Linked DNA regions of Drosophila melanogaster. The protein of the gene in region 2 purifies or fractionates together with the protein of the main gene of each other region. This does not show direct contact. Each region holds a gene or a part of one and is shown on either strand. Other genes may lie near its edges.

Region 1 (15,458 bases), on a different chromosome or scaffold from region 2:
GATGAGTTTGAGATGGCGGAGGAACGTGCTAGTCGCCAGGGGCAGGACGGCAGCAGGAGTCATGGCAATCATAATGGTGGTGACAGAGGTGAACGAGGCGGTGGCGCACCTGTTCCCGTTCCCAGACCCGTTACCAATGTCCTCTATATAGAGGATTTGCCACAGACCACCACTGAGCAAGATATCATGAAGATGTTCTCCGCCAGCTATACCGTTGTGGACATCCTACTGAGCCCCAGTCCAAAAAATCGACGAGAATCCGTTGCCTTTGTCCTTTTTGCCAGGGAAGCTGAAGCCGACTCTGCTCTGCAGGATACCAGCAAGCACTATATAGGGTTCCGCCAGCTGAGAGTGAGATCCAGCAGCGAGGAGGACATGCAGAATGCCAAGGAGAAGCAACGAAGAGCCAATGAGCAGCTGCTAAAGGAGGAAGCCGATCAGCGGGAAGAGCTCCTAAAAGATCAGCAAAGGCGACAGAAGCAGCAGCAGCAGGAGAATGAGAATATTCAGGCCAACAGATTCGCCGCTGATCCAAGGAGACGCCAGGCGGAAGATCAGCAGCAGCAGCAACAGATGAATATGGGACCCAATTTTAATTCCAACATGAGTCCCAACATGATGGCTCCCTTTGTCAATGGTGGCAACATGCCCTTCCACATGCCGCCGCTTCAGCAGAACGGTGTCAATAACTTTCCCTTCAATATGAATAACAACTATAACTATAACGGGAATTCCAATGGGAACGGACCCAACTATCCAAATGATAATGGAGGCGCTGGTGTCATCCAGCGACCCCGCCAAGAGGATGTCTTCGTTCGTGTCCACAACTGCGAGTACGCCACGAGAGCCAATGATTTGGGTGAACTGTTTTCCCTCGAGCACCTACGAATCGAGCATATCGAACAGCTTTTCAATGAACGCAACCAGAGCTCCGGCGAGTTTATTGTGGAGTTCAGTGATCCTGCCAGTTGCAAACTGGCCATCAGGGAGTTCCACAATAGACGCTTTCGAGGAAGGGGACTGCGAGTGGTGGCCATCACGCCCCAGGAAATCGCTGATAGGATGAAAAAGCCCTTCATGGATTATCTGCCGGGTGGAAATGGTCCCAGGAAAGCGGAAACTAACAATGCGAATGACGGTGCAGGTGGAAATAAAGCCAGTGCGCAGCCGTCTCGTCGTCGAGGACCCAGCCGCTTTGATAAGCCGCAGGAACAGCCATCGCAACAGCAGGATCGACCGCTATCCCTGGAAAGGGAGGACAACAGCAGCACTAGCTCGAACGCACCCGTTAAACAGCACTTCAATCCCTTCGCTCGACCAGATCCTCCTCTGAGCAGCAGCTCCCTCTCGCCCAGCAATCAGGGTCAAGTCAAGCCAACCTCTCCGGTGCCCGTTCCCACATCCATAATCCCGGACAAGTTCAATCGGCCGGGATGCGTAGTGGCTATGCGCAATGTCCCTTTCAAGGCGGAGCTAAAGGACATCATGCGCTTCTTTAGCGACTACAAGCTTAGCCCGGATGACATTATAAGGCGTTTCAATGATGAAGGCAAACCCACCGGCGACACTCGCGTCGCTTTCGAGTCCCCTTCGGAGGCAAGGTCTGCCTTCGAATCGCGCCGCAAGAAGCAGATATTTAACCGCACTGTCTACCTGGATATCATCTAGGCAATGAGCTTAGAGCCCAAATAATTGTATAATGTAAATAGATAATGTTAAGCCAGACACCAAAAATATTATATATATAAGCAGCATGTACATAAACTTGTTTAAATAAATCGAATAAACCGTGTAAGAAATGCGTTTAAGCATACAAAACCCAGCGAGCGACTGGGAAACTATCATTAACATCAACGATGAAGTATCATTATATTTTGTTTCTGTGCATCCTTTCTTTAGTCTTTTTAAGACTTCACGTAATTTAAGTTGAAGATTTATACCATTTTTTTGACATTACAAATTGTGAATAAATAAATAAAACTTGTTTCATTTATATGAATAAAATATATTACATAGACACAAAAATACTTCCTATAACATGAATATAAAAAGTCTTAATCCAATCTTAGGCATAGTTTTGCAGTAATATCACTTGGGACTTTTTCAGCGACTCCCGGCACAAGGGGCACTCATCCCGCTCCTCCAGCCACTCGAGCAGGCAGCTCCAGCAAAAGATGTGGCCGCATGGAGTCAAACTGCTGTCAGAACGTGGCTCCAGGCAAAGGATGCACTGTGGGGTGTTTGGATCTACGTCCTTTGTACTCGAAGATCTTTGCAGGAAATTCTTTCCAGCCTGCTTTATTGATTCTAGCTGCTGGCGCTTGTGCTCTCTCCAGGCATCCCATCCACTAATGGCCAAGGAAACGCTGACCTGCAGGAAAGTGATTACGCCCAGTATCTTGTAGCCGTACAGCGAGAATTCCGGCTGCAGCCAGTGACGGATTAGTACGTAGTTGATGCCCGTGGTGCGCTTGGACAGCTGGTACTTGCTGGCGTCCAAGTAGAATAGAGACTTGTGCAGGGCCTTTACGTAGCTGGGAGATTGCCTGAGCCTCTGAATAATCTTCTTTAGCTGCGGCTTGATCTCGGTTCGAATCTCGTCATTGTTGGCCACGTAGGTGTCAAGTTTTTGCATCAATCGTTGGAACAGGGAGTCGCCACCAAACTCCAGGACAATGGCAATCAGTTGTAACTAAAAGATGCGCGACGTTTACAAATGTTTTCTTTTCGAGTATTCTTTACTTACCAATCTGCTGGGAATCTGCTTATAGTTCCCGTCCACCTGTATTATCCCCGTGTACTCTTCGCCGAGGGTCTGAAGGTTATTGGCCGAGGCGAATCCGTGGTAACTGAGCTCCGCCAGAAGTCGGCACATCTGGTTGTACTTTATCCAGTTCCGTGGACCGGTGAGGCGCAAGACATCGGACAAGTCTTCGGCCAGCTCGTTGGTGTACCGTGCATCCTTCTGCACGGATCTCACGATCTCCGGCTGCCGGGCGCGGGCGTTCCGAAAGTCCATGTCGTTGGGGGTTACTGCAATGTTGATTCTAACATATCTTATTCAAAGGCCGATCAAAGTGCGGCTCAGATAACAAAATCAGCTGTTATACTTTTGCCTAATTGAGATGACACTTTCTAGGAACATCGGTAACGCAACTTGCAACAGCACATTTTACACAACACAGCTCCGCTCACTTCAAACGTATTATACGAAGTATTAAATTAAAAAAAGTATTTCCTTTAATATTATTTAAATATCCAATGTGACATTATAATTATATATAATTACCTTGTGCGATAGTTTTCTCTGACGAATCACGACCATACCAAAGCACACCATCAGCTCTCTGCGAGGCACTTTCCAGCACTTACAGTCAGCCATTTTCTATCGGGCATCACGGATGCTTTTTTTCCCTGACCAAAGGATATTTGGTTTTTCCATCAAAATTTGTTGATTTCGAGACGTCAAATCGAAACCCCGCGATAGCAGAGACCGTGTGTCGGCAGTGTGTGTGCAATTGGCAAGTGGTAATTGTCGGAAAGATTCGGTTTTGGACCCGCAAAGAGCAGCTAGCGCAGACGTCACACCTTTTTAGGCACCAATACGATTACAGCTACTAATACTACGACCCACAGACTAATAGAACAACAAAACAAGTGCTAGAAAAAGAGAAGAAGAATCGAGCCGCAAGTCCAAGTACTTAAAAAAGTACTTTCGCCTCGAATTTAACTGCACTTACTCGCAAAAGCCGCATTTGATTTTTTGGAAATATTACGCAAGTACTATTTCTAGTCGTACCCGTTGGATAATCATGGCTCAGTAAACATGAATCCGCAACGAGAATACTTTGCTCAGCGCACTCCGTGTGGAGACCTAGGCAAGACGCAATTAGCCGCCCACTGGCAGCTGTCCAGCACCCATACTATTACTATTCCCCAAGACAAGTGCACCTCCAGTATCCACAACGATGGACAGCAACAACAGCAGCAACAGCAAGAAGCAGCCTCAATCCTCTCATCATGGCAAGTCCTCGTCTGCTGAATCGCAAAGGAAGTCCAGTGGTGGGTGCTCCATTCTCCTGATATTTTTATATCCCGAAAAGGTTTTAATATTGGTGCAACCTTCTCCTCCGCAGAGTTACATACCAACAGCAACAAGCAGCGACACAGCCGTCGAAGGAATCAGGTTCCCACACCGCGCAACGATCAGCAACAACAGCCACAGCAGCCAGCAAAGCTACGTCCCAATGTGGACAAGCGTCCGAAGGCTCGCGGGTTTGGAGGCGGTTACGATTTCCCTTCACCCCGTGGCCAGGACGGGGCTTCAGGCAGCTCCCGACTAGCCTACTCCGCCACCGGCTACTCACGTAGCGGTGACTTTGACCATGAACTGAACTCTGTGTATACACAGGGCAGCAAGAAGCAGAATCTGAACCATCTGCTTAACTTCCACTGCGTGCCCAGGGAACTGGAGCGAGGACATCACCATCAGGCCCAACAGCACCACGGCCTGAGTGGCCGAAAGCAGCGCTACAACAAGGAGCAGTTCCTGCAGGCCAACTTTCAGTTCGTCATTAGATCGGGTGCAAAGGCTCAGGTTAATGGCTCGCCGGATGCACTCATCGATTGGAGCTACATCGAGCAGATCAACATACAGACCACTGAGGAGTTGCAGTGCCCCATCTGCCTGTACCCGCCTGTGGCTGCCAAGCTCACCAGATGCGGACACGCCTACTGTTGGCCCTGCTTGCTGCACTACCTCTCGCTGAGCGACAAGACCTGGCGCAAGTGTCCTATCTGCTATGACGCCATCCACGCGGGAGATCTGAAGAGCTGCACCATCGAACAGCTGAGGGATTTGCAAGTGGGCGAGAAGATTACCTTCCAGTTGATGCGGCGTCGCAAGGGCTCCATGTACATTGAAAATCATGTTGCAGGATTGGGCGAAACAATTGAACGTTTCCCCTTTGTGTCCGCTGGTGAAGAGGCTAAACGCTACTCAAAGTTTCTAATAGCCAAGCGGATGGATGTGGCCGCCATCATCGAGAGGGAGCGTAACGAACTGCTAGCCGAATCGGATGTCTCCTGTCCCGAGGATGTGTTCATCCAGCAAGCGCTGGTGATGCTTCAGGAGCGTGTTGAGAAGTTGGGTGTCGAGAAACCTGATCCGAAAGAGGATGAAGAGGAGACAGCACCTGTACTTTGCCTAGAAACCGAGACCAAGATTGATATTGAGAAGTCAGACGATGCCTCCATCTCGTCGGGAGAAGCATCCAGCAGCCTTAGCTACTCGAGCAACCATAATAAATACTATTATTTCTACCAGTCAAACGACGGACAGAATATTTACTTGCATCCCTTGAACGTGAAGATGCTTCAGGCTTGCTACGGCACCTTGGACTTGGGTCCGCTACTCATCGAAGCCCAAATCGTGCAGATGGAACAGCACTCTATGGATGAGGAGCATCGACGCAAGTTCACTTGTCTTGGCCACTTGCCTTTGACTTGTCAGTTTTCGGTTGTGGAAGTCGAATTGCAGCCGCCAGTGGTCACTGGAGGAATACTCAAGCTCTTTAAGGGTAAGTCCACTAGGTCCATGTACAGCATTATGCTTATATGTATTCCTTCCGCAGAGGACATTCTTCATCGTAAGAAGGAACGACAGCGTCGGGATCGCGAGGAGCGCAAGCGAGAGCAGCACATCAACGAGATAAATGACCGCCAGATGGGCAAACTTATTGCCAGTGCAGCTAACCTTGACCTAAGCTCCTCCCATGAGTTTCCCACTGTGAGCTAGCAATGCCTGCCATTAGTGTCAATTATTAATATGTGATATTTTATCTAAAGTGCGGCTTCGAGGAGGCTTTGCCCGCTCCCAGTGGCTCTGTGCCCATGAACATCAGCAACCAGGACCCCGGTTCCCGATACTCCAGTGTCACTCTGGGAAGTCCCAAGCAGGAGATGTGGCCCACTATTGGAAGTAATTCTCCTGGAGGTGGTGGCGCGCCATTGGATGTTCAAGTGGGCGCCTGGGGCCGTTCAGCTCCACCGCCGCCACGGGCTGTAATGGTCCCAAGAACCAGCGATGAGGACTTTGAGCAGCGATCTGTGGGCCACTGGGGTCTGGGAGAACTTTTAGTTGGAGCCTTGGACCAGAAAAAGCAAAAGGTAGGAGCAGCAAAATCCAATGGAGCAGCTCCAGCGGAATCGAAGAAGCAAAAGAAGGCCAAGGGCAAGAAGATGGTTCCCCTGTTCGCCACGGGCATGAACAGAGCTCCATGAAGAGCTAGATGATGATCGCTTATGAAGTTACAAGATTTATTGTATTTTTGTTTTTATGCGAATATTTCAACGTTATTTTAAATAACAAATGCGATTGTTCTATCATTGAAGAGGATTTGGAAAATCATTCAGCTAATCTATAATTTAACCCAACTTATATTCACAATACACATAAGATAACCAATAAAGGCAGCAAGTAAAATATCAAATAAACGCCTTTTTACTTTCTTGCCAAAAGAAATATTCATAATTTAACTGAAATTTATCGGAATGTATTTTAAGCGCATACTTTTTCTGGTAGCTCTTTTAAATATGTATAAAAGTGCCTACTGCGCTGTTCCATTAAACTTCAAACATATTTATTTATGTTTTAATTGATAGGAAGAGGCCAAATTCGTCTTTAGTCGCTGCGTCGCTCGTCTACGACATCCTTATGCTCTGGTTGCTCCGAGTAATTGAGGTTTGCTGAGGCATTCACCTTATCAGGGCGCTTTTGTTTTCGACTAAGGGATACGCAACTACCAGACCCGTAGTCTGGTGGCAGCTCCATGTACTCATCCTCAGAGTCTAAGTCGTCTGTTGCGTCTGGATCGTCACCGTTTACGGAGCCATTCGGACTGCCTGGTGGGCTGAGTGCCTGAATGATTCGGCCCTTGGACTCGTTCCAGAAGGTGTTAAGCCGCTCCCGGCCGAACAGGAGCAGGAAGGCATCGATGAACTCGCGCGACTTCTCCTCCCACTTGGTGATGATGTCAACCTTGACTTTGGTCAGCTCCCGCTTGCCTCGTGTCTTCAGCTCGTCCATCTTGTTCTGCAGACGGAATTTCTTCTCGGAGAGAAAGGAGACGTTGAGCTCCTTGGCTGAGTAGCCTCTGGCCAGGTTCCTGCGCACATATACATCGTAGTCCTTCACGATTCGGGCCACAATGTCCGACGTGGACACGCCCTCAGTGCGTTCCGTGGCCACAAACATTCCCTTCGCTTTGAGTGGAGCATATATGTCGTTGACTCCGCCAGCTCCATAGGGTATGTCATCGTGGGCCACAAAGTCGATTTTGTGCTCCTCGATAAACTCCTCATTTAGCGTCCACGGAGCATTCGGAACGATCTTGTGATGGATCGAAAAGTGTATAGAAACATTTCATTGGTTCAGTTTAACACACTTACCTCATCCACGTAGCGGCAGTGGCGCACCGCCTCGTAGCGCTCGAATCCATTCATAACCGTGCGTCCCTTCATCCTGAGGGTCAGCTCATCATTGCACACGCCGACGATGAGATAGACGTTGGGAAACACATTCTTGGCCTGCATGAGTTGGCGGGCATGGCCTTGGTGGAACAGATCATATATGCCATCTGCATAGACCCGCACCCTGCGCGTCGTCTTCCCAGCTCTGGCCATATGATAGGTGATCCTCTGTGTGTAGTCGCATCTCTCGAGCTCCAGCATGGCCTTGTCATCGTACGAGAAAGGAGCAGGCTGGCAAATGCTCTGGAGGCGTTTTGGGGTAGAGAGATTAGTATGTGGCAACTCCTGTTCCTCTAAGGAGTAGCCTTACAAAATCCTCAAAGTCCATAAAGAGCGGTAGCATCTTAAACTCCATCGGCGATGTCGGTGTGGCAGGAGCCGTCGACACTGGAGATTCGTCGTCCTCTTTCGGCATTCTGTCCATTGCTTATAAAAATATATGTACGAGTATACACAACTAAGTACAGCACTAGTGGTCCGCTCAAGGGGATTTCATCCGGACGACTGATTACATAAATTGAGACGGAACCGGCATAACCCTCTAGGTCTACTCTGTCGAGGATTGAGTCCGAGACTTTGAGCGAGAGATGTCCCCAACTGCGCACTAGCTGCGATCAGAATAAATTGGCGGCAACTGGTGGCGAATCAATACAATTGAGTCCAGCGGCTGGCGAGGCACACGACTTGGAGGCGGCTCTAGCAGTCTCAGGCCCAAGTCTCTGGCTCGGATTCATCGCTCATCTTCAATTGCCGCAAATTGCGGCGCAAGCAAATAGGAAGCAACGGGTCGGTCGCCTGACTTGGCACGGGTCCGCCGATTCGATCAGGCGATGGGTGCGCATCTATATATAAACCGCAGCGCCATTAAACAAATCAGTGAACCGCTTCAAGCCGGTGAATGGGCAGCTAATTGCGAGGGAATGGGTGTCCAATCAAGGCAAACGGTTTCATCATCATCGGTGGCGCGCGCTCAAGAATTCCAGCAGTGCCATGGATGGCTGCTGAATCGGATGCGCAATTGCTGGATAAACGTATGAGATAGCAAACTGATTCACAAGCCACTCGCTTTACTTCTATTTCCTTTCGATTCAATGTTTATTTTTCAAAAAATATTTAACAAAGCATTTGCAATAGTTCCGCTATTGCCAACTGTTACTAATTACTTGTTTTTGTTTTTTGCATTTTCCGAATGTATTTCGTAATTTGTTTGTTTGGATTTCTCTATATTGGTTGGTGTTCTGGTTGCGGTGTTGTTAACTTAGTTTAATGTTATGCGAAATAATTTAATATAAATATTTCTAGATATTTTCGGCACCTGAATCTGCCGCCACTGCCGATTGATTTCGTGCACAGTCCGTCGAGTGCCTAATACAAAAATGAGTCTTTTCCGCGTTGGTGGTTGCTTGTCCCACACACACACACACACAGCTAAATTAGCTACAGGATTCCCTCGATTCTCACAGATGGAGATGGGCAGGTGGAGTTGAGGCAGGAGGAGAACGAGTGCCAACTAAAACATTGGGATTACAATACCACTTAGGGCTAGAGTAAATATAAGTGTGTGTTCGTGGAGCCTGCGTGGCGATCCTGGGGCATCTATAGTGTGCCGTCGAACTAGTTGCAAGCAAGTCCATTTACAATAGCATTAAAGACATTAAGAGAAGAAGAAAAGATCGGGCTGCCCCGCAATAGAATCAATTGCTTCGACGCTCGTACTCCGCATCCGCATCCGCATCCTCGTCCCCATCCGCTTCCAAGTCGGGTGATTGGCTCTGCAGACTCTGGTAACTGCGGCGGGCCAGCGAGGAGCGCTTCTGCTTCGGCCTCTGTTTGCCGTTCAGCGATCCACTGCTGCCGCTGCCGCTGCCCCCGCTCAACTTCTCGGCCATCTCCAAGTACTCGTCAATAGTTTCGCTGTAGTCCTCGCCGCCCTCCGTGTCATCACCGTTCACTGATCCCGACGGGCTGCCCGGCGGACTGAGTGCCTGCAGCAGCTTGCCCTTCGACTCGTTCCACAAATGATTCAGGTTCTCACGTCCGAACAGCAGCAGGAAGGTGTCGATGAATTCGCGCGACTTCTCCTCCCACTTGGTGATGATGTCCACCTTCACCTTGCTCAGCTCGCGCTTGCCGCGCGACTTCAGCTCGTCCATCTTGTTCTGCAGCCGGAACTTCTTCTCGGACAGGAACGACACATTGAGTTCCTTGGCCGAATAGCCTCTGGCCAGATTACGACGCACATACAGATCGTAATCCTTGACGATCCGGGCTACGATGTCCGAGGTGGACACACCCTCAGTGCGCTCCGTGGCCACAAACATGCCGCGCGCCTTGAGAGGAGCATAGATGTCGTCCATGCCATCGGTTACATACGGAATGTCGTCGTGGGCCACAAAGTCGATTTTGTTGTCGGCGATGAATTCATCGGACAGAGTCCATGGCGCATTCTGGACGATCTGCAAGACAGAGTAAGATGCTATAGACTGAAAGATCTCTAATCAGTGCCGGGCAGAACATACCTCGTCCACATAGCGGCAGTGACGCACTCCCTCGTATCGCTCGAAGCCGTTCATCACGGTGCGTCCCTTCATGCGGTGGGTGAGCTCGTCGTTGCACACGCCCACAATTAAGTACACGTTGGGAAAGATGTTCTTGGCCTGCATTAGTTGGCGGGCGTGGCCCTGGTGGAAAAGATCGTAGATGCCATCGGCGTAGACCCTCACCCTGCGGGTCGTCTGTCCGGAGCGGGCCATCTGGTAGGTGATCCTTTGAGTGTAGTCACATCTATCCCGCTCCAGCATGGCCTCCTCGTCGTGAGAGTAGGGCGCCGGCTTGCAAATTGTCTGCAGGAAGAAAAGTTCCCGATTAGTTGGGCTATTCAACTGGACGATTGTGTCCTTGGTCTACACATTCTTTCTCGATCTTATCACACATCGTCGGAAATATACGACTCACGACTCGAACATCAATTTCAAACGATTTCAGCTACTACGATTTAGACTAACTTTGCATCCTAACTCTTGACTACTTACCGCAAAATCGGAGGCCCCGCTGAAGAATTGCTGCGAGGTGGATGCGGGCACCACCCGGTGATTCGGCGACGCCTGCTGCTGCGGGACGTACTTCCGCTTGACGCCGTTGAGGTAATCCGACTGTGGGGGCAGCAGGTCCTCGGCGGCTGCCGCTTCGCCGCCATCGTCGGCGTCGCTTTGTGAGATGGTGCGTGTGCTGTCCCGCAGTGTGGTGGCCGAGGTGGTGGGCTCGCTGGCTCCCTCGCCGACCACCAAGACACTCTCCAGCTGGCCGGGCCTGCTCTTGGACTTGCCGGGGCTGTTTGTGCGCTGATCCTGAACTTCCGATACCTTTGTGGCGCTGCTGGAGGCGGTGGACGAGGGCATGGCAATGGCTATCTCGTAGGTCCGCTTCCGGGTGGTCAGTGTGGAGCCGGGGGACGCGCTGCTGCTGGGCGTGGCCGGTGGCGATGTGCTATTAATTGTGCTTTTGGCGAGTATCGATGAGGTGGCCATCGCAGCGAATGTTTGGGAGCGGCAGTTTTAACGGCTTCGCGACGCGGTGACGGAGGAACAGAGATTCAATTGACTTTCAGCTGGAAGAGATCGAGAAACAGATTGGTTACCATCAATGCTCTACATTACTTTCCCATATTTTGTGTGTTACGTTTCGTTTACATCACATTTAGTCTTATGAAATTATAAAGTTTTTCTTTGAAACCGCATTTGGTTAGCTTTGCATTCTGTTTATATGTAGTTGCAAGCATCATTTATCAAATTTCTTCATTCGCTGGATTTTATTCAAATTTCCCTTTGCCAATTTTTCCACCACTCCAACTTGTAACTTTTAGCCAAAGGGTTAATAAGTTTTCTCAAAAAGGAATAACAATTTTACTTCAATGAACCAACACAAGTTGTATTCTTGTTTTGTTTAATCGACACATATGCACTTGTTTACCAAGCAATTTATAAATAAAATCCAATAAAGCAGTAAACAATTCGAAATAAACAAAGTTATTTTTGAACTACAATTTAATGCATTGGTGCATAAGCAAAAATATATTACACATTCGCGCAGCTAATGGAAAGATACTTTCTTGTGAAACCATTTTTATGTAATCAGATATTCCCTTTTCATTAACCCAAATATTTATGACTCGGGTGGCAGTAGTTCTGACTGTTTTGCGCTGACGACACGTGACACCTGACCCCGCGCCCCCAGCCACGCCCCTTTTCTTCGAAGTTGAGCCACGGCCAAATCGATTTCAGTTTTAATTGCCAAATGGCCGATTCAATTCGCCACGCGCATCGCACCAGAGAAATTCCGCAGAAAAAAAAAACGCAACTGAAACAGCGGGTAAACAACAACACGGCTCGGTGTCGGTAATAATAGACATACAGAGACACGTAGTACTCTCGATAGGAGCGGGATGATGAGCAAGTGAAGCGCTGGCGGGGAAGGCAGCAGGGTGGGCGGCCAACCCAGCGCAGAACTAGTTCCGAGTATGCAGCGCCACTTTACGTAAACAAGTGCAGACGGAACACGTGAGCCGGACACGATGACCCATTCCCCCCGAGAGCTGGGCGCCAATCCTCTCGTGCTCCATGGCACACCCAGCAAAAGCAGCACGCAGGAAGTTACAGTTGGGATTAGTTAAGTCATATGTACATATTATTTCAGCTACCGGGAATTTTCAATGACGAATTTCCCGAAGGTCGTTCTAAATCAGTTTTTGTGCCAAAAAAAAAAAACGATGCTGCGTGCGAAATAATTAAACAAGATCGTCATATGTGCACATATGTACATAATTAGCATTGCGTATTTTGGGGCATTTGCTTGGAACTACATAATTGTTCATAATAAATATACAATACGTCATAGAAAAAGTAGAAATTCCTCATTTTTTAAATGCTTCTTTCGATAATATTGTAAATAGGCCCACTGTGCGGTCAGCTGTCTCGTGCGTGGCTAACAATAATTTTAGGTAGACGATTTCCCATGTTTATTCATCGTGGCACACATGCCTATTTACATATGTATCTACGTGTGTGGATAGCGTCTGCATATTTCTTGGCATTGGGAATACGTCAGAGATTTCTACACCTTATCTGGAGGAGTCCCTCCTGGCGACTCCAAAGGGGAGCAGAGTGCTTGATTTTGTGTTCAAGATTTGCCTTGGACGTGAGTCACTTGGAAGCCGCTTACAGTTCAAGTTCAAGCCATAAAAATAAAATCCGAGAGATTTTCTGAATAATTTCGGATCTGATGTAAGCGCTGTTTGAAATTTAACGAATTTATTGTACCTTCCCCGTGGACATGCTAATTCTGTTGCCAAGTCGAATTTCGGGCACCTTCGGCAATCTTCAGCTGTCGTACGTCATAAGTCAGAGTCGTACGATCTACAGTCACTGCTCGCTATAAGAAACCTTTCAGTTCTTCAAATGTATGAAAATATGAATAATGACAAAAGTTATGTTGTTTCCTTGATTGCTTAATCTAATAATTACTAGGATTTCCTTTGTTTTCTGAAAACATAGCAGTAATGACTCACGATTTCTATAGTTTCTTTTTTTTTCAAATCACTGTGCCACTAGTTTAGATTAAAAATATAAGTGATTTAACAATTTGCGATAATAAATGAATTCGTATCACGATGATTTTTGGAAACAAATATCTTAAGTAATAGCAAAGCAAGTCAAACATATCTAATCTCACTGGCGAGTGCCTACTGTAATTACTTTGGCTTTTAAACTGTGGTGACGAAGTGCCACCTCCATTGAAGCGAATCCAAACGTAAACAAAGCCAGGGGAGATTTCCATTTGAAGTGGACAAGTGTGGAACCCGTAAAATCGATTCCCAAATTGCCGGGCACTAAAAGCAGGTGAGAGATAAGATCCCCTGAACTACCTGCTGCTAACTTATCTCGGAGAAGAACAATATTTCTGCGCCTGACGGCCGCTTCCGCTGCACTCGAATCGCGAATCGCGGGTATCTGGAAACACGATAAATGCGTTTGGCGGAAACGAGCCATGTTTCACTGTTTCCAGCGATAAGACAAATTCGCCTTTAATTATGGTTAGCACTCGACAAACACCCTGCATGTCTGACAATCACACCGCCTGATCTTTGCCAGCCTGGCAAAACGTATGGCGGGCCAAGTTCGCTATCAGCACGGACTTATTTCATTATAATACACTTCTACGGACTACACATCGTACGTATTTTCTTCAGACAGAGGTCAGGCTAACCCTGCGATCGGGGAATGTGGGAAACTACTAGCAAGATCGTAATTAAATCACGTGATTAGCTGCTACTACTTCAATCATATACAATAAATGAATACATAGTTGAAGCCATGTTCTTAAATCTATAATATAGTTTTGAAGAAGCTGGCCATAAAGTGCTGCTTAATAGTATTTTCTAGTAAATAAAATCCTTGGAACCACTTCCATTATCTCAAAAGCACTCAACAAACATAGAGAATCTTTGCAAATATTTACACAAATGGAAAATTTACACTAAGAACAAAAGCAAGTCGTTCTAAAAATGTAACCGTAATTGACCCTTAATGGTTGATATAATTATTTAGTTACGTTTTTCGTGTCACTACGAAAACCGGATGTGTTCAGATAACTCGGTACAACAAATTAAATTAGATCATGCGGGAAGCGTGAGGAGATAAACACATTTTTTAATACAATTAACTATTGTTTCAAACCTCATAGTTTGGGGCTAACATTTCCTAACAGGCCGAAGAACTCTGCCGAATCTCACGGCAAAGTAAGAGATGATTTTGGAGTTTGCCTATTGGATGTTCGTTCGCTTTTGGCCAACAGCAAAAGGTCGAAAGTACAGTTCTGTGTGTGAGCCCAAGCCCACTGAGTATCAAAGACTACCTCGGGCTTTATTCAAATCTGCGTGCGTACGAGTGCTTTCGCCATTGATAAGCTACGATCGGAGTACAATTATAGACTGATCGTGGGGTGTACTCCATGGTGCACACAAGCAATTTGCATTGATAACCTTGGGGCGTGGGCTTATCAATAATGGACTTAACGGAATAAGCCGAAAAACCCAGTTGACGTCAACTGTGATTTTCGGATGCTACGTGTGAGAACGCTCTGGGAACTATCGGTCTGGGAGTAGGAACTGTAGTTAACACACTGGCACGTTTTTCTGGGGCACCCTACTTAGCATTTACAGCGCTTTAGGGCTCCAAGGCGAGTGATAAGATTGTCTAGAAAAATTGCACAATGCCCTATAACTATTGTTGTTCATATATAAATATGTATATGTCCGTCTCTTTTTCTCAGTCGCCTACGCACCGAACACGAAGTTCATTGAGAAGCCGAAACAGCTGACTCTGATAGTGCGTGTGATCTCTCCAAACACGCGCGTGCACTCTCTCGCTCTCCGCCACTCTGTTATGTTTGGCTGGAAAAGAGCGACCACGCAACGCAACGGTAAAAAGGCGCTTGGGAAAGTGGAGCACGTAGCGTGACTAACACTTGCCCCATTGGAATGACGCTGCCGCTGGGGAAATCGTACGATCGCAGGGTAAAGTACGCCACCAAAATGACGCGTCATCGAGCGAGATGTTGAGAGAGCGGAGGCGTGGGGCGGGTGCTCACCTACTGCAAGTTCGGACACGAAAAATCATACGACAAGCATGACGTGGCGACGGCCAATTAATGGCGTCGTCTTGCCGGCTGCAAAAAGCGAGAAGGAAAAAATCGATAAGCGGTGGCAGCGCAGCAGCTGTTCGTCGCGGGGAATAAACAGAGCAGAGCAGAGCAGGAGACGGTGATTATGTAAACAAGCCTTGAGGAGCAAGAATCCAAAACGCACATTCGGCCTCTGTAGAAAAGACAGAGAACAAGCTTTCGCTCTCTCTCCCTTCTGCTCACGTCATCCG
Region 2 (15,946 bases):
GCTCAACTCGAGTGGTGGCCCCCCCAATCAACGAATCCCGTACAGAATCCACCGGTTACGCAGGCGCCGCAATCGACGACAAAACGCAGACACCACTTTCGACTGGTGGTGGTATAGCTGGTGTTGCTGGTGGAACTGGAGGAGCAGGCGAAGGTGTAGCTGCTGCAGCGTCTGGTGACGGGGAAACTAACAGCAATCGCCACTCAAACGAATCGGGTACCCAGAACATCTATCATCGTACTTAAAATCCCGCTTATTATTTTGTATCTGTTGCACGCGCCCAATGAATTCCCTTCCAAATTTTTCGTTAGGCGTATTGTATACATGTTTGTCCTAGATGCTGTAAATAGTTGGCTTTATTCTCCCGCCTCCGTAATGATCCTTTCCACAGATTTCCTCCGGCTTATTATATAATTTCCGCTTGGTTTTGGCTACCCGTTCCCCACAACGAGAACTGCATTTTTGACCATTTCTAACACCACTCTCCTTCCATCGCCAGGTTTCGTGTCGATGCGTGAGTTTCGCACTTCCACACAGACGACGGACTACAGTGTCCAGTCCTCCACGAAGTCGTCCAGCAGCAATTCGGAGATTGCGTTCAGCATCAGTGAGTCGACGGCGGTCGGCAGCAGTAGCGAGTACCAGCAGATTAGCCAGTTGGTGTCGCACAGCCAGCGTCATATATCCTCGAGCAGTAGCAGCTGCACCACCACGACCACCAGCAGCAGCACAACCACCGGCTATGGCAGCAGCGAAGTGGAGCAGCTGCAGCAGCAGCAGCAGCAGCAGACGACGACGACGCCGGCCGATCTGGCGCCCGCCTTGCCGCCAAAGAGCATCCAACGGAGCAGCCTAACCCGCCACGACTCGCCCGGAGTTGGCGATGAGCTGGACGAGGTGCAGTCCTCCTCCGGCTGGGCCAGCCATCGGAGCAGCCAGTCGGAGGTGGCCGAGCTGCGTCAGCTGTCGCCGCTCCATCACCTCAATCACCATCCGCATACTGCGTCCGCCGGTCAACTGCAGCAGTGGCACTCCAAGCACCACAGCCTGATCGAGGGACCCCGCCTCCAGCTGGCGGGGAGTGGCAGCTGCAGTGCGTTCGATCAGCGACACTTGGATCAGGAGCCACCGCCGCTGCCAATAAAAAAGAAGCACAGTAAGTCAGTTTGCCCACGATGCACACTTTATTTACATCGATTCTTCCTATTTTTCTTTCTTATTTTTTTCCGTTTTTTTTTCGATTTGGTTTGGTTCTGCATCTCGTACCGTGTGTGTGTTTTTTGTTGTTGTGTATATTGTGTAAATTACTTTTATATCATTTTTTTTTTTTTTGTCATTTTCGGAACCGCCCAGGCCAGGCCGAGCGGTGAGTCAATGGGTGTTTTGTTGAGCGCATTTTCAGGGTTTCCTGCATCACTGTCCTCCTGTTGCAGCAGTATCCATTCCATCAGATCCATTTGATAGGCTACTCCATTGTTAAACCCAAACAAAAATCAGACGAAACAGAAACACCACAACAATCAGACCTCCAATTAGTTAGTTAAACAAATCAATCAGTCAACCAGGCAATCAGTCAATCAGTCATCACCTTTTATATGGGTAGCCAGGCAGAGCAGTCCGTTTTTCGAGATTTGTTTGTTTCTTTAAGACCATTTTATTTATAGCACATACCCGCATTATCGCAAACCCCTTAGAAATGCTGGCGACAAGAAAGTTTGCCAAATTGTTGTACGCAAGAGTCTAACCCATCTAAATTATCGTTCCAACCAACATCTAGTGTTTCAAAGTGTGGCCTTTTCGGGTAAGTCTGTGTGTGTTACTAGAGGACCAACACGAAACAAAAACACTAAGCCAACTTTTGCTGCCAAATGCCAAACAAAAACGAAATAAAACAAAATCACCCACGAAACAAACTTTTTTTGCACGGCGCCCTTGGAAAGCTCGCAATGCTCTATTCCCTACCTCAGTACTGAATGACACTCCTTTCGATTAAATTTGGCTTCATTTCACCATTGAGCAGAGATTTCCATGGTCCAACCGAATGGGAATCTAGTGTGTAAACACAAAGATAGCTATTAAACTATCCTCTTTCGTTTTTATAATACTTTACATAAGGTGAATACCCTTTGCTATCCAGTTAATAACCATGATGGAAAGAGCATTTCGAGTTCGCTATTGGCTTCTTGCTCTGCTAATAACTTTGCTGCTGCGCCGCATTCGTATTGACTTGACGCCCGAACAGCCACCTGTTTGCAGTTTCCGTTTCTAGTCCCAAGTACATGGACTGAGCAACAGTTCTGTGGCTTCCATTTCGCTCCGCCTAACCCGCTGTGTCCGTCCAGAGCTAGTATCTCCAGTCCAAAGCCCCGAAAGCTCCTGCTCTGTGTTACTATCCAGTCCTGTTACTCGTTGTGCTGTGTTGTATGTTGCGATTCCTGTAGATCTGGTGAACAGACAAAGACCTTCGGGATGTGGGTCCAAGGATCGATCGATCGGCTTAGTTTTCGTTTCTGTCCCCCGCCACTGAAGCGTAAGAGTTGCTAACGATTTCATCTTCCCTACCCTACCGCACACAGTTCTGGCGTACATGGAAATCTGTTCGGCGTCCACGCGATCCATTGAGCAGCATCGTCACACAATGCACGCCTGCAACATAAGTCGCAACATCTCGCACAGCCAGACCATGAAGTGAGTAAAGTTGTGTGTAGCTAGTAGTTACTAGGCGGTACTAACCTTATTTTTTTGTTACCTTTACAGCATTATGCCCATGAGCAAGGAACTGTCGCCGGAGCTCGAGATGCCACCTGCCCTGCCGCCAAAGAACTACAAGCAGCGCAAGGCGACAAGCATGGTAGCATCACCCACGCTGCAGCCCGTCATTGTGACCACGCCACCGCCGAGTCCGAAGCCGACGCTGGGCGAGAATGGGTCGACGGGCAGGCCGGACAGCCGGATGGCCACCGTATGCGAGGAGCTGAACGATGCAGTGGCCAGCGAGGATGCGATGCCGGAGCCCCGTTCGCCCGTGCTGGACAGCAATGAGAATGTGAGCGCCGTCGATGATGGACAGACTTTCTACTGTCACTCACATCAGTTGCCCGCCGCCGAAATGGAGATGAGCGAGGATGCGAGCAGTGCCGACAACCAGCCAATAACCACGCCCCAAGTGCTCGAGGAGCAGGAGGAGCCAACGGCGGAGTCCCGACCACTGGTCGCTGTGCACGAGTCGGTTAAGCCAGCGAACGTCGACGAGGATGAGGAGGCGGAGCGAGCGGATATGCTGATCAACATGCTGGAAGAGGTCAACATCACACGGTACCTGATACTCAAGAAGAGAGAGGAGGACGGGCCCGAGGTGAAGGGCGGCTACATCGATGCCCTCATCGTGCACGCCAGCCGTGTCCAAAAGGTCGCCGACAATGGTAGGCATTCGCAGCGCAAGCAGAAGCAGCAAAAACATACCAAATATCGTTCGCATGGTCATTTACCCAACTCCTCTGTTGTCTCTGTCCATTTTCATTCCGTTCGTGCAGCATTCTGCGAGGCCTTCATCACCACCTTTCGCACCTTCATCCAGCCGATCGACGTGATCGAGAAGCTGACCCATCGCTACACATACTTCTTCTGTCAAGTGCAGGACAACAAGCAGAAGGCCGCTAAGGAGACCTTTGCGCTGCTGGTCCGAGTCGTCAACGATCTAACGTGAGTTGCCTAACCACCATTTTTGGAATAAACTAAGTTGGTACATACCCGCTTATCATTCATTGTTCACCATGCAGGTCGACGGATCTAACCAGCCAGCTGTTGAGCCTGCTGGTGGAGTTCGTCTATCAGTTGGTTTGCTCTGGGCAATTGTACTTGGCCAAGTTGCTGCGCAACAAGTTCGTGGAGAAGGTGACGCTGTACAAGGAGCCCAAGGTGTACGGCTTTGTTGGGGAGTTGGGCGGAGCCGGTAGTGTCGGCGGAGCAGGAATCGCCGGCAGTGGTGGATGCAGTGGTACAGCTGGTGGTGGAAACCAGCCTAGTCTGCTCGACCTCAAGTCGCTGGAGATTGCCGAACAGATGACGCTGCTGGATGCGGAGCTGTTCACGAAGATCGAGATACCCGAAGTATTACTATTTGCCAAAGATCAGTGCGAGGAGAAGTCGCCCAACCTAAACAAGTTCACCGAGCACTTCAACAAGATGTCCTACTGGGCGCGCTCCAAAATCCTGCGCCTGCAGGATGCCAAGGAGCGGGAGAAGCATGTGAACAAGTTTATCAAAATCATGAAGCATCTACGCAAGATGAACAACTACAACTCGTATCTGGCGTTGTTGTCGGCCCTCGATTCGGGTCCCATAAGAAGGTAGGTTCTACTGGCCCACTGAAGCTATTGATATACCATTGATATGTTGATATACCATGTCCTGCAGATTGGAGTGGCAAAAAGGCATCACCGAGGAGGTGCGATCATTCTGCGCCCTCATCGATTCCAGCTCCAGTTTTCGCGCCTATCGACAGGCGCTGGCCGAAACTAATCCGCCCTGCATACCCTACATGTAAGGATCTGATCTGATGTTTCTTTTTTTGTTAGAATCACGAAAGCCAAAGCTAATTATCAATTCGTTCGTTCCAGCGGCCTAATTCTGCAGGATCTAACGTTTGTGCATGTGGGCAACCAGGACTACTTGTCCAAGGGCGTCATAAACTTCTCCAAGCGCTGGCAGCAGTACAACATAATTGACAACATGAAACGTTTTAAGAAATGGTAATTATCAATTTTCATTCAATTATAATCACTTCTTTCACTTCACTTCACGCAATTTTCTTTTTCTGCTGCAGTGCCTATCCATTTCGACGCAACGAGCGCATTATACGCTTCTTTGATAACTTCAAGGACTTTATGGGCGAGGAGGAGATGTGGCAGATATCGGAGAAGATCAAGCCGCGTGGACGCCGCCCCGTTAACTATTAGTCTTCAAGCAGCAACAGCAAAACACCAATATTATATATGATAAAGTATATACACCGTATTAATTAAACAGTTCAAAACGGTTGCCACGTCTAGGAGGAGGATCAGCATCGGGAGCAGCCAACAACTATTCTAATGGGTCTGAGCAATAATGTTCGCTATTCTCTGTCTATATATATACAATTATACAAGATATTTAGCTGTAATTACCAGCCGATGCCGAATCGGAAATACATATACATACTTACTTAAGATGTAGCGATTCAGATACGGATACGGATACATGTAGCCGCGTACAAATAACGAGCCGATCTGTAGTTTAACTATTAAGCTCTATGAGTCATTGGGTCGATGGACCTAACCTCAGCTAACTCCCCACCAATATTCGAATCCGAATCCCTGTCTGCGAGTCCCAAAAACTTTTTCCCGGACTTTTGCCAGCACTAGAACACCAAACTAACTAACTAACTTACTTACCACCAGAGACAACCAATCAAGAAATCAGCAATTTTCGCTTTTGTTTTGAGATCTCTTTTTTACACAAGAACACAACGAATTTTGAAAGCAAGCTACGTGAACGTAGAGGCCAACCGACAAACTATATTCGACGATATATGTAGCGATATCTCGGACTATAAATCGATGCAATCCACGAGCAGAACACCAAGCGAACCCTAGCACAAAGCGCGTTATATGCAATTCTCTCTCCAAACAACCAATATTAAATACCCGTGTGTGTGTATGTGTGTTAGAAGTTATTCAAATTGAAATTGAACTCAAAATCAAAATCAGAGATTTCAGAGTGCACGAAACAGAAAACAGAAGGCGGTATCTATCGATCAAATCAATCAATCAATGAAATCAATCAAAAATTCATTTTGCGACTCAATTAATTGAAGAAACTTTTAAAGTTACAAAACAAAACAAAATACAAAAAATACAAAAAAAAAAAAAAAAACAAAAAAGGCGAGGAACCTGTGGAAGAGATTAACTAAATTCAATTTGCTTTTAAATGTACGACTAACATTAAAAATATTTATGGGCATGTAATAATAGTTCTAAATAACGCTTTGACTTCTCCTTTCAATTCTGTGAGGAATAAATTTATTGATATTGCGTGTAAAAATATTAATCATGAGAAGAAATCTGAAAGCAGAGTTAAAACTGAATGAAATCGACCTCAAGTTGTTTTTACTAAGCAATACTCTGTCTCGTCTGAGAATAATGTCTTCTTATTTAGAAATGGGAAACAGAAAAAAAGGCTGCTTACTTGAAGAATTTAATTCCCGATCACCATAGCCATTTTAATAAACAAAAAGAAAAGTCAATTTTTTTTTTTAATTTGTGTTGAGTGAATTCGATCTTCTTTTTGCTGCTGCTTCCGCTGCCGCTGGCGCATCAATTGTGTTTACTAAGCTAACGAACCTAGGGACAACAATTTATTCTTGTTTTTTTTTTTCACCTATTTTTAAATTAAATATTTTGTATATGTAGAGAAAATTTTCAATTGTAAATGTATTTGTATTTAAATGTTATGTGTGTATTCATAAGAATGAAAATAGCTACCACAATCAATGTATTTTTCCTTTATCTGCAAAACGCATTTTTATTGGGGAAAAGGAACATGGGCTACGTTGCTTTCCAGAAGTCATTGAAATAAAAACAATTGTCGAAATAGGATTTTTCCTTATTGTACGGCCAATAAACACATATGACTATTTAAATTCGAAATAAAAATGTTCGCATTTTCGATAAGGGTGTAAGTCATCGAAATTTTCGATAAAATTACCGTTTCCATGTTTAAATATAGTTAAATGGGAAATTTAATTTTGAGTTTAGTGGGGCATGGCATTCTAATATTGTTCAACTCTCTTTGTTGCTATCCAAAAGAAAACTGATTATATTTTTCAAAAAATTTCAAAAATTTAATAATTTTGAATGGGCTTTTTCAATAACTTAGCCGAAAAGAGTGGCACTGTTTTGTACGACTTGTAAACAGACACATTCGCATTTATAACAGAGCGTAATGACAATTATTTAATTTTGTATATATAGGATTTATATCGCCAAAAATCTGGGTATGAACTTTGGCCAAAAATCGATCATTTGTAGCGGACGATGTTTTGGGAAAAAAATCAAATTAATTATTTAACCCATTTTTTTAAACAATTAACAATCTGCCTTTGATACAAAGAAGCAGTTACTAAATTTAAATTGTTTAATGCTTTTAAGAGCGAGGTTGCGGCTTGAAGCGGTTTGAGAGAATTGTTTGAAGGTTCGAGAGAGGCAACCGCAGTAGTGATGCCAATTTGGCTATTTTTTTTTCTGTGCAATACAAAGCGCCATTAGATTTTATGTCCTCACCAAATACCAATACTCAGAAGCACTTTTGTATAAATAAACTATGGCCAACTGGTTTGTAGAGTTCAACGAATGCATTGGAAGGTACGTACTTTCTATCAACAATTTTCCAAAATAATCATAATTTATTGTACAGTTCTATACGCGCCTAATTTTATGACAGTCATTTCATTAATACTTAATATTCGATGGGAATTTAAGGGGAATTTGGCAATTAAGCGTCATGTGTTCTTCCTTTCTTTTTAGCAGAGCGATCCGATCGAGGGAGCGGGCATCACTGCGCTGCGATCGAAACGTTCGCCGGTTTTCGTTGGTTTGTTCAGATGAGCTCAGGAGCTGCAGTGCGACGGTCGCGCCACGAAACTTTGCGGGATTTTTCAAGTGTCGAAACCGACTCTTTTCGCGTTTGTGTTCAAGCCCCAAAGGAGCTTTCGAGCCAACGAAATACGTGCAAAGTTTAAGGCTCATGTAAATCGGAACATAAAGGACCAACAAATCAAGCTTTACTTGTTTTTTACACCCTTGTATTTTGTCAACGAAACGACTGTTTGTTTTTTTTTGTTTCAAGCCGGCGACAGCCAACGAGTACGTAAAGTGTGCAAATTTGAAATTGAAAACTAACCTGTGATCCTAAGTTTATGTGATTGTTGTGAAAATATTGCTAGACATGCAGAGTTTTAATCTCGCACTAGCGCAATTTTGTGATAAGAACTAACTAAACCGCTGAAGTGCGAAAGCACTTGCATATTTTTTACCCATATCAATGGGTATCTCACCTGGCCATTCAAATCACCTTGCTCGATTGATCGAAAGATCGAGAGTTGATGTCCAGATTGTAGGCTTAAGTGCAATTGAAAACGGGCAGAATTTTGCATGTGAGAAGTGCACAGATATAAAACCAAAACAGATAAGCTAAATTAGCGAATATAACTTTTTCGCAGGCAGATTCTTGATCTTAACTTTCCCCTAACGGAATGATAGTTTGGGCCATTTCGAAACTAAACTGATAGTGCCAAGATTATTCGAAAATTTGTCGTAAAACTAATACCCAAGTGCCAAAGCTACCGAGGTATGTAGGGTATCTGGGATGCCCGCTGGTCGGCTGTACTTGACATGTTCGTTTTGGCGCGCTCGAAAGGCGTGAAAGTCATTGTCCAACGTTGGCCATTTGATTGCCAGCTCCTTGGAGCTGTATGCTGGATGCGGCGATCTGCGAACTGGTAATGAAGTGGACTGCAGTGGAGTGGAGTGGAGTGGAATGCCTGACTCTCCAGCATGCATACATATAGACACACGATCGCCTCATCGGAATCGGAATTCTGTGGCTCTCAAGTAGCTTCTGCTTCTGACTTTGCTGCTTCTTCTGCTTGTCCTGATGCCCATGCTGCCGGTTGTCCGGCAGCCTGCGTGTCTCGCTGCGCTGCCCCCTCTCCAGCTCCGCGTCCACCAACCTGAACTTCAACTCCAACTCCAACCTCCACCTCCTGCGGCACTTGAGTCCACTTGGAGACAGGCGTTTTTATCCGCCTGTTGTCTGGCTCCCCTCCTTCTACTTCTACCCCTCCTCCTCCCACTCCCTTTTGCCACTCAATTGGTGATCGTTATCATCAGTAGGAGTAGCAACCAGGATTAATGGGCTGCGCCAGTCTAGAGCATCACGAATAGGCCAACACCCTCTAGGTCAGGTGTCACAGCTATGACCTACACGGAGAAAATAATAATCTTAGAAATTAGGCATAATAACCTTGAGCTGATGCACTAAAATCCAGCAGATACTTTTGTATCTTATATATACTTTTGTATCTTATAGATACTTTTGTATCTTATAGATACTTTAATATCTTGTAGATACATTTGTTCCTACAGATACTTTTACTTTTTCTTAAAGTAAAACACACATGAATGCTCAAGAAACAATATGCTTCCAATTGGCCAATGTCCAAACACTTGATGGGTATTTAGCAAGTCGACTGTGGCCGTCCTGTCTGCATTATTTGCCCAAGGTGTTTTTGTTGGTGTTTCACACAGTCGCTTGGTGTTACTTTGTGTGTGCCAGTGTGAGTGTGTCGCTGTTGTTTCATTAAGCAAACAGAGCTGCAAGTGCCACTTGTTGCTGTTGTTGTTGTTGTTGTTGTTACTGGACATCATTTAAATCGGTAGCCGGGAAAGTATGTAACTCTCCTCACTCGCTCATCCTTGCTCATCTGGCTTGCTCTTTCATTCGAAATCCTTTTAGCCGATGACTTTGTCTTTTTGAGTCAACAAATTGCTTGTACTCTCTATACTACACAGGGAGAAACATATGATATGTTTGGATATTTTCAAAGCACTTGATCCTGATATCTGATCTGAGCAAATTCGTATGTACTTATATATCTGTAAAATAAGCCTAAGATATCCAAAAAATATTGTGTAATATCTCGGTTTCGACACATTTGTTTTGGATAACTACTGCATGGGTAATTTGGAATCGATAGGGTTTCTTTTCTCGGTGTATGTCATTTTTTACGTTGGGATTGTTTATGAACAACTTGCCTCTCGCTTGCACCTGCAGTACACCATTAATGGCTGGCTGTGAGTGTGCGATTTCCAGTGCCTCTCCTCCGCCCCCACTTCCTTTTCCAGTCTCAGTTCCATCCCATCCCATCCGATCCCACTCCACTCCGACTCCAGTCCACTCCAGTCCAGTCGAGTCCACTCCGCCACTCCAAGGGGCAGCTTCTTGTTCTCGTTGTGTTGCCTTTTGTCGTACCTTGTGTGTGTGTTTGGGTTCTTTAATTTTTTATTTTCACGTCTCATCGTCGAGTATTTGTTGTTGCCCCTGTGGATGCTGCTTCTTTATTTTCTTGGTAATAAGGTGTGAGAAAGGCAATAATCGTAAAGAGCTAACAAATTGTTGTTGTTGCGCTGCTGCCGTTCCTACTTTGATTGCTACTGCCACTCCACCTCCTCCATCTCCTCATCTCTCTTCTTTCACGCTAAAATGTTAATCTGTCCCTTTTCCTCCAGCTGAAGCAATTATATCGTTGACGACAGCACTAACAATGCATGGCCATCTTCATCTTCATTCCATCGACCTGATACGGTGTTTGATAACCACTTCCCTGCACTGCACCTGATCCTCTCACAACCAAACGAAGGGAAAGTAACAGACACGCGAATTCTTCAGTCCAACAGTAGTTGAGTGCTTGCTAACTGCTCAGTGTAATGGTGAAAAGGGGTTAAGTTAATGCTTATATAGATATATATGTTTATATATATACACTTTACACCTTTATGAATATCTCCCTATTAATTGCACGCTGACTAAGCTTTCCTCAGCCTGCGCTGCGAATGCGCCTTAGCTGGAAATTCCAATTCTGATTCGGACTTAGATTGACCATGAGTGGGATTATCTATGCGCCGGTGCCGGCTATCGCCATCATGTGCTTCCTTATCGGCCGACCGACCATTAATTAGCACGAAATAAAAATAATTTCAAAACAAAGCGTGAACATCGTATTTATAGGAAATCGAGGTCTGGCCCGGTCCCGATCCCGAGATCCCCACACGATCCCGATTTCGAATCCAATTTCAATTCCAATCTGTGATGGCCATATGACGTTCCCGTTTATGTTCTACATACATATATTTATATTGCGTTGTAATATGCCAGCTCCATGAATTACTTCCGCCTACGATTTCTTAACCACTGATTCAATTACTATCTGGATATACACATCGGATATATTCATGCATGCACGCTGGGCATCCACAAGAGCAATTAGTTCACTTAACGAATTCATTTCCCAGGGGCCGTTTTGCAGATAAGTTTGGAGTTGGATTTCGGTCTTGCTGCCCGATGATCCCAGAGCACAATCTTCGAGAGTCCGAGCCCTTTGAGTCGCTGGACGATGTCATTATCTCCAAGTAATTCCTCATAATCGCCATGTTTGATCTTATTAAGACAGCTTAACTTGTTTTCTTGCCCATCATCGTCGTTTGCCCTGTCCCCGGATCTCGAATCAACCCATTCATACGTGATGGACGGGACATGGACGGACAATGCTCGATCGATCGCTTGTCCAGTCAGTGGTGCTGTGAGTTTCCTCAGTGATTTCTTCAGAGCCCTATAGAGCTTGGAATTGGAAATTGGAAATCTTAATGTGAAAGCCAGCCAACCTGCTCTCAGATAAAGCCACTTTTAAGCTAGGCTTTTAGATGATGCGAATTTTTTACTCATGTGATAAGATATCTGAATAAGAATTTGTATTTTAAATGGCCAAAGAAAAAAGGTCAAAGTGTCATCACTGGGTCTCTTTTGTCCGTTCACTTGTTGGCCGTGTTAAACGTCTGGCTTCTGGCTGTCCGGTCTGCCGTGTAACAAGGCTGGCTGGCTGGCTGGCTGGAGTTGGCCCTCGTTGACTTGGGTAACTTCACACCGGGCAAAGTGCTAACGACTTTGTACCTGCTCTTCCTTCACTTCTGCATCATTTCGAGAGACTGCCGTTTAGCGCTTCAATCGGGCCAAGCTGAATGAGGTTTTGGGGAGGAGGGTTGGGGGGGTTTCGCCGAGGGCAGTCCATGCACCGGAATGGGGACACTTCAGTTGCTGGTTGGCAACTTCGCTCTTCGGTTATGTTTTATAACTCACTTGTGACTCTTGAGTTAAAATATGTAGTCTGACAGTGAAAAAACCTAAGCGATTCAATCACATATATATGTATGTACATATACATATGTATATGCACTATTCCTGGAAATCTAAAGTGCTAGCACACAGAGTATGCCCAATCCCCTACAGCGGATAGATAATTCCCTCGTCCAGAGCAGCGAAACCGAATCGCAAATAGATCGCGGGTCTGCAAATATGGCAAAAGATAAACAAACTGCATGGGTGTGGGATTGGCAATCCGCGATCGGCAATAAGCAATCAGATATCCAATATTTGGCGGGGATTGGTTGCGAGGTGGGGGTGGTCTGGCCAGGCCATAATGCACTCACTGGCAACGTTTACTTTTAATTTCAATCTCCGTTTCGGTTTGCTTTGCCAGCTGGGGAAACTATGACACATCAGGGCATCGGCTGCCTGGTCAAGTGGTTATATCTGGTGCTGATCGTGCACACGCTCCTCTGCATCGGCCAGCTCGAGTGTCGCCAGCAGCACCACAATCGGAATAACAATAATAATAACAGAAGAGCGGACTCGTCCAGCTCAGAGGAGGGCCACGGCAACACCAGCGATGGCCTGGACAACTTCGCAGATCAGGACGCCAGCTTCGTTGGCCATGGACACCAGCCGCGTCGGGGTCAACGAAAGAAACAGCAGGGAGGTGGAGGAGGAGGCAGCGGCGGCGGCGGCGGAAACGGAGGAGGCGGTGGAAGCCGGCACAATCGCAACGAGGAGAGCGGCATCTCGTTGTGGATCAATGAGCAGCAGCTCAAAATGCTTACAGGTTGGTGGTCGCTAATGCCTATATGCTTGTCTTCAAAAAAATATGCATATGTCCTTAAAAAAAGTTGGTAAATTGTACCTGGACGTACCTGGACATTAAACCATTTCTCCTCCTCCACAGCGCTCTACTTCCCACAGGGCTACTCGGAGCGCCTGTACGCCATTCACAACAGCCGGGTGACCAATGATCTGAGGGACACGACGCTGTACAACTTCCTGGTAATCCCATCGGAGGTCAACTACGTTAACTTCACATGGAAGTCGGGGCGCCGCAAATACTTCTACGACTTTGACCGCCTGCAGACCATGGATGAAAGTATCTTGAAGGCGCCAACGCTGTCCATTCGCAAGAGCGGACGCATTCCGCAGGAGCAGAAAAGTAAGTAGAGCGGGCTGCTGCGGCAGCGGCGAAGATTGTCAGAGTGCGGCAACCAAGCCTCATCCCAAGCCAGATTTTAGCATATTCCTGCCCTGCACCGGCAACAGCTCCGGCACCGCGTCCTTCAACGTCGGCCTCAAGATCCAGACGCGCCACAACAAGCCGCTCTCGGGCACACCCATTCGCCTCAACTTCAAAAAGGAATGCGCCCACAGAGGTGTGTATGATATAGACGCTTCCAACCCTACTTCACTAACAACTTTGCAAGGTAGTGTATATGAAATATCAAGCAATGCTTTTATCTAGTCGATAGTAATTGTAAATTAGCATTATACATACATGTTGTGCACACTCCGCCCATCAGCCATCCATGCGCCATCCCAGCATGCCATCCCCGCCCACACGATTCCATTCCATTCGATTCGATTCAATCCGATTCCATTACCCCACGTAGTCGCTTTTCACGAGTCCCCTGCACCCAGCTCTTCACTCTTTCCACAGCACTAAATTACTCGGGCTATCAAAGAGAATCTGGCGAAAGTAACTACCTAATGACATTATCACATATTCAAGTCACAAGGAACTATATAGCCTTTATGAGATATGTTATATGAAATTGTAAATTTAATTGCATTCATTCTTGAATTCGAAAATTCTTCAAATTTGTTCCAAATTTTTCGATAGTAAATTATTGATTGATAGCCCGCAAAAAATATATAATTCGATACGATCTACCCTTTGCTCCCACGCCAACCGCTTTTGTATCTATCTATCTATGATCTATGTATCCACTGTCTACTCGAACCTGCCCCTCTTTGTGCTTCCGATGTGCTCCGTTAAGTGTGAGTCCAAATGAGTGTTAAAATGAGTGTTTATGCCTCGTGACATGCGAACGATTGAACTAAACTAAAAAAACTTAAGCTCCCGATCCAGAATGCAGCTTGAAGTGCGGCAAGAACGGGTACTGCAACGAGCACCACATCTGCAAGTGCAACGTGGGCTACACGGGCCAATACTGCGAGACGGCCTTCTGTTTTCCGCAGTGTCTCAATGGCGGTAACTGCACGGCGCCGTCCGTCTGCACCTGTCCGGAGGGCTACCAGGGCACGCAGTGCGAAGGTGGTAAGTAGACGCGACTATTATGGACATTTAGCTCTATCTTTAATGCTTAACACGGTTAGCTTAGCGGAACAGATAATTTGATTTTGATATATACAGGGGGCCCAACTGTTTCAGCCTAGATCTTCTTCGAGATGGCAATAGCCGTCTTGCAGCCAAACTTGATTACCTCGGTCATGGCCTGGTAAAAGGGCGCTTGCTCGGCACCGTGATCAATGCCCGTGTCGTGGTGCTCCTGCTCCTCGTCCCGGAACTTGGTGATGGTGGCCAACAGCTCCTGCAAAATCATATAACGTTGTTACTTCGTCCGTTGCTTGGGGCAGTTGCAAATGGTACTTACCTTATCCGGGTTCGGTGCCTCCATTATCTGACGCAGCTGGTCATTGTAGTGTTCTACGATCACCGTCTCCACTGCCACCGTGCAGGCCATGGCTGCCTTTTCGCCCATGAGGGCGGTTCCGGCGCCCAGCACAAATCCGGCCACGTTCCAAATTGGCGTCATGATCGTTGGACGCACGCGGTGCTGTTGAATGAGCTGCTCGAACTGTTTACGATGCTCTTTCTCCTGCTCCCACATGTGTCCGATGGTCTTGCCCAGCGGTCCGTTGCCCAGAATGGCCATTTGCCCGGCGTAAATGCGATCTGCTCCCAATTCGCCGGCATGATCGACGCGTATAATCTCATCTGTGAGCGCATTTGGACGTGGACGCAGCGGGGTGGTTTCAGAGCTGCCTCCTTCGGTCGTGCCTGCTGATCCTCCTCCAGTTGCTGAGCTTAGATAGCGCTTGGAGAGCAGGCGTGGCTCGGGCCGGCTAAGACCTCTTCTCAGCATTCCATCTGCGTAGAAAAGGAGGGTGATACGATACGCGATGATTAAGTACACTTGGGGCAAGATAACTGGGCATTATATAAGAATGAAATGTGCCTGGCGCGCAACTAATAGTATCCCATTGTAATCAACAGGTATTTGCAAGGACAAGTGCTTGAATGGCGGCAAGTGTATACAGAAGGACAAGTGCCAGTGCTCCAAGGGTTACTACGGCCTGCGTTGCGAGTACTGTGAGTAGCAAACGGCTCAACTCTTATCGAGGCGAAACACTGAACCTTTGCCCACCCATTTCCCTCACAGCCAAGTGTGTGATCCCCTGCAAGAACGAGGGACGGTGCATCGGGAACAACCTGTGCCGCTGCCCCAACGGACTACGAGGCGATCACTGCGAGATCGGGCGCAAGCAGCGCTCCATCTGCAAGTGTCGCAATGGCACCTGCGTCTCCCACAAGCACTGCAAGTGCCATCCGGGATTCTATGGACGCCACTGCAACGGTCGTAAGTGCAGCGTTGATCCTGGAATGTCCGGTGATCAGGATGGGCTTATAAAAATTTGCTAATCTCATCGTTTTCAGGCAAGCGACGACATGTCCACCGAAACGATGACTCCAAGTTCTAGGGCTACCGGCGCACACGATCCAAAATATTCAATCAACTTTTCACTTTTCTACTAAACCAGCACGACAAGAACAACAGCAACAGCGACAAAAGGAAGAAACGAAAATAATTCTAATTGTGATACATTTTTTTTGTAATTTAACATAACATTTTTAAATAAAAACAAAATCTAAGAGTTAATGCGTCGTGATCTAGCGAAGATTTCGAGGGTCAGTTGTGAGCCACTGAGTGCAGTCTACTTACTCATTGCT

The links.
Region 1: the proteins of shf (region 2) and Pcyt2 purify together in Drosophila melanogaster (affinity purification with mass spectrometry, with the first as the bait; one large-scale study listed by BioGRID). This does not show direct contact.

Annotation. Positions count from the first base shown.
Region 1 is NT_037436.4:1,546,393-1,561,850, reverse strand, and holds Pcyt2 (phosphocholine cytidylyltransferase 2), read right to left. Parts: upstream 8,359-15,458; 5' UTR 7,955-8,358; coding exon 7,841-7,954; intron 7,774-7,840; coding exon 7,450-7,773; intron 7,391-7,449; coding exon 6,683-7,390; 3' UTR 6,536-6,682; downstream 1-6,535. Other genes in the region: CG7879 (uncharacterized protein), read left to right, coding at 1-1,668; Pex10 (peroxin 10), read right to left, coding at 2,066-2,692, 2,747-3,019; CG12099 (uncharacterized protein), read left to right, coding at 3,969-4,062, 4,137-5,579, 5,634-5,788, 5,848-6,282; Pcyt1 (phosphocholine cytidylyltransferase 1), read right to left, coding at 9,225-9,986, 10,050-10,373, 10,563-11,057.
Region 2 is NC_004354.4:6,771,366-6,787,311, reverse strand, and holds shf (shifted), read left to right. Parts: upstream 1-7,652; 5' UTR 7,653-7,901; intron 7,902-12,349; 5' UTR 12,350-12,360; coding exon 12,361-12,751; intron 12,752-12,871; coding exon 12,872-13,129; intron 13,130-13,202; coding exon 13,203-13,397; intron 13,398-14,050; coding exon 14,051-14,251; intron 14,252-14,272; exon of another isoform or gene 14,273-14,366; coding exon of another isoform or gene 14,367-14,525; intron 14,526-14,588; coding exon of another isoform or gene 14,589-15,085; intron 15,086-15,211; coding exon 15,212-15,307; intron 15,308-15,377; coding exon 15,378-15,575; intron 15,576-15,652; coding exon 15,653-15,696; 3' UTR 15,697-15,849; downstream 15,850-15,946. Other genes in the region: C3G guanyl-nucleotide exchange factor, read left to right, coding at 64-216, 500-1,156, 2,577-2,688, 2,758-3,422, 3,534-3,702, 3,780-4,349, 4,417-4,542, 4,620-4,751 and 1 more; Coq7 (coenzyme Q7), read right to left, coding at 14,367-14,525, 14,589-15,085, 15,939-15,942. UniProt on the Drosophila melanogaster protein: Required for normal accumulation and movement of lipid-modified hedgehog (hh) morphogen. May act by stabilizing the interaction between heparan sulfate proteoglycans (HSPGs) and hh, HSPGs being required for diffusion of hh morphogen.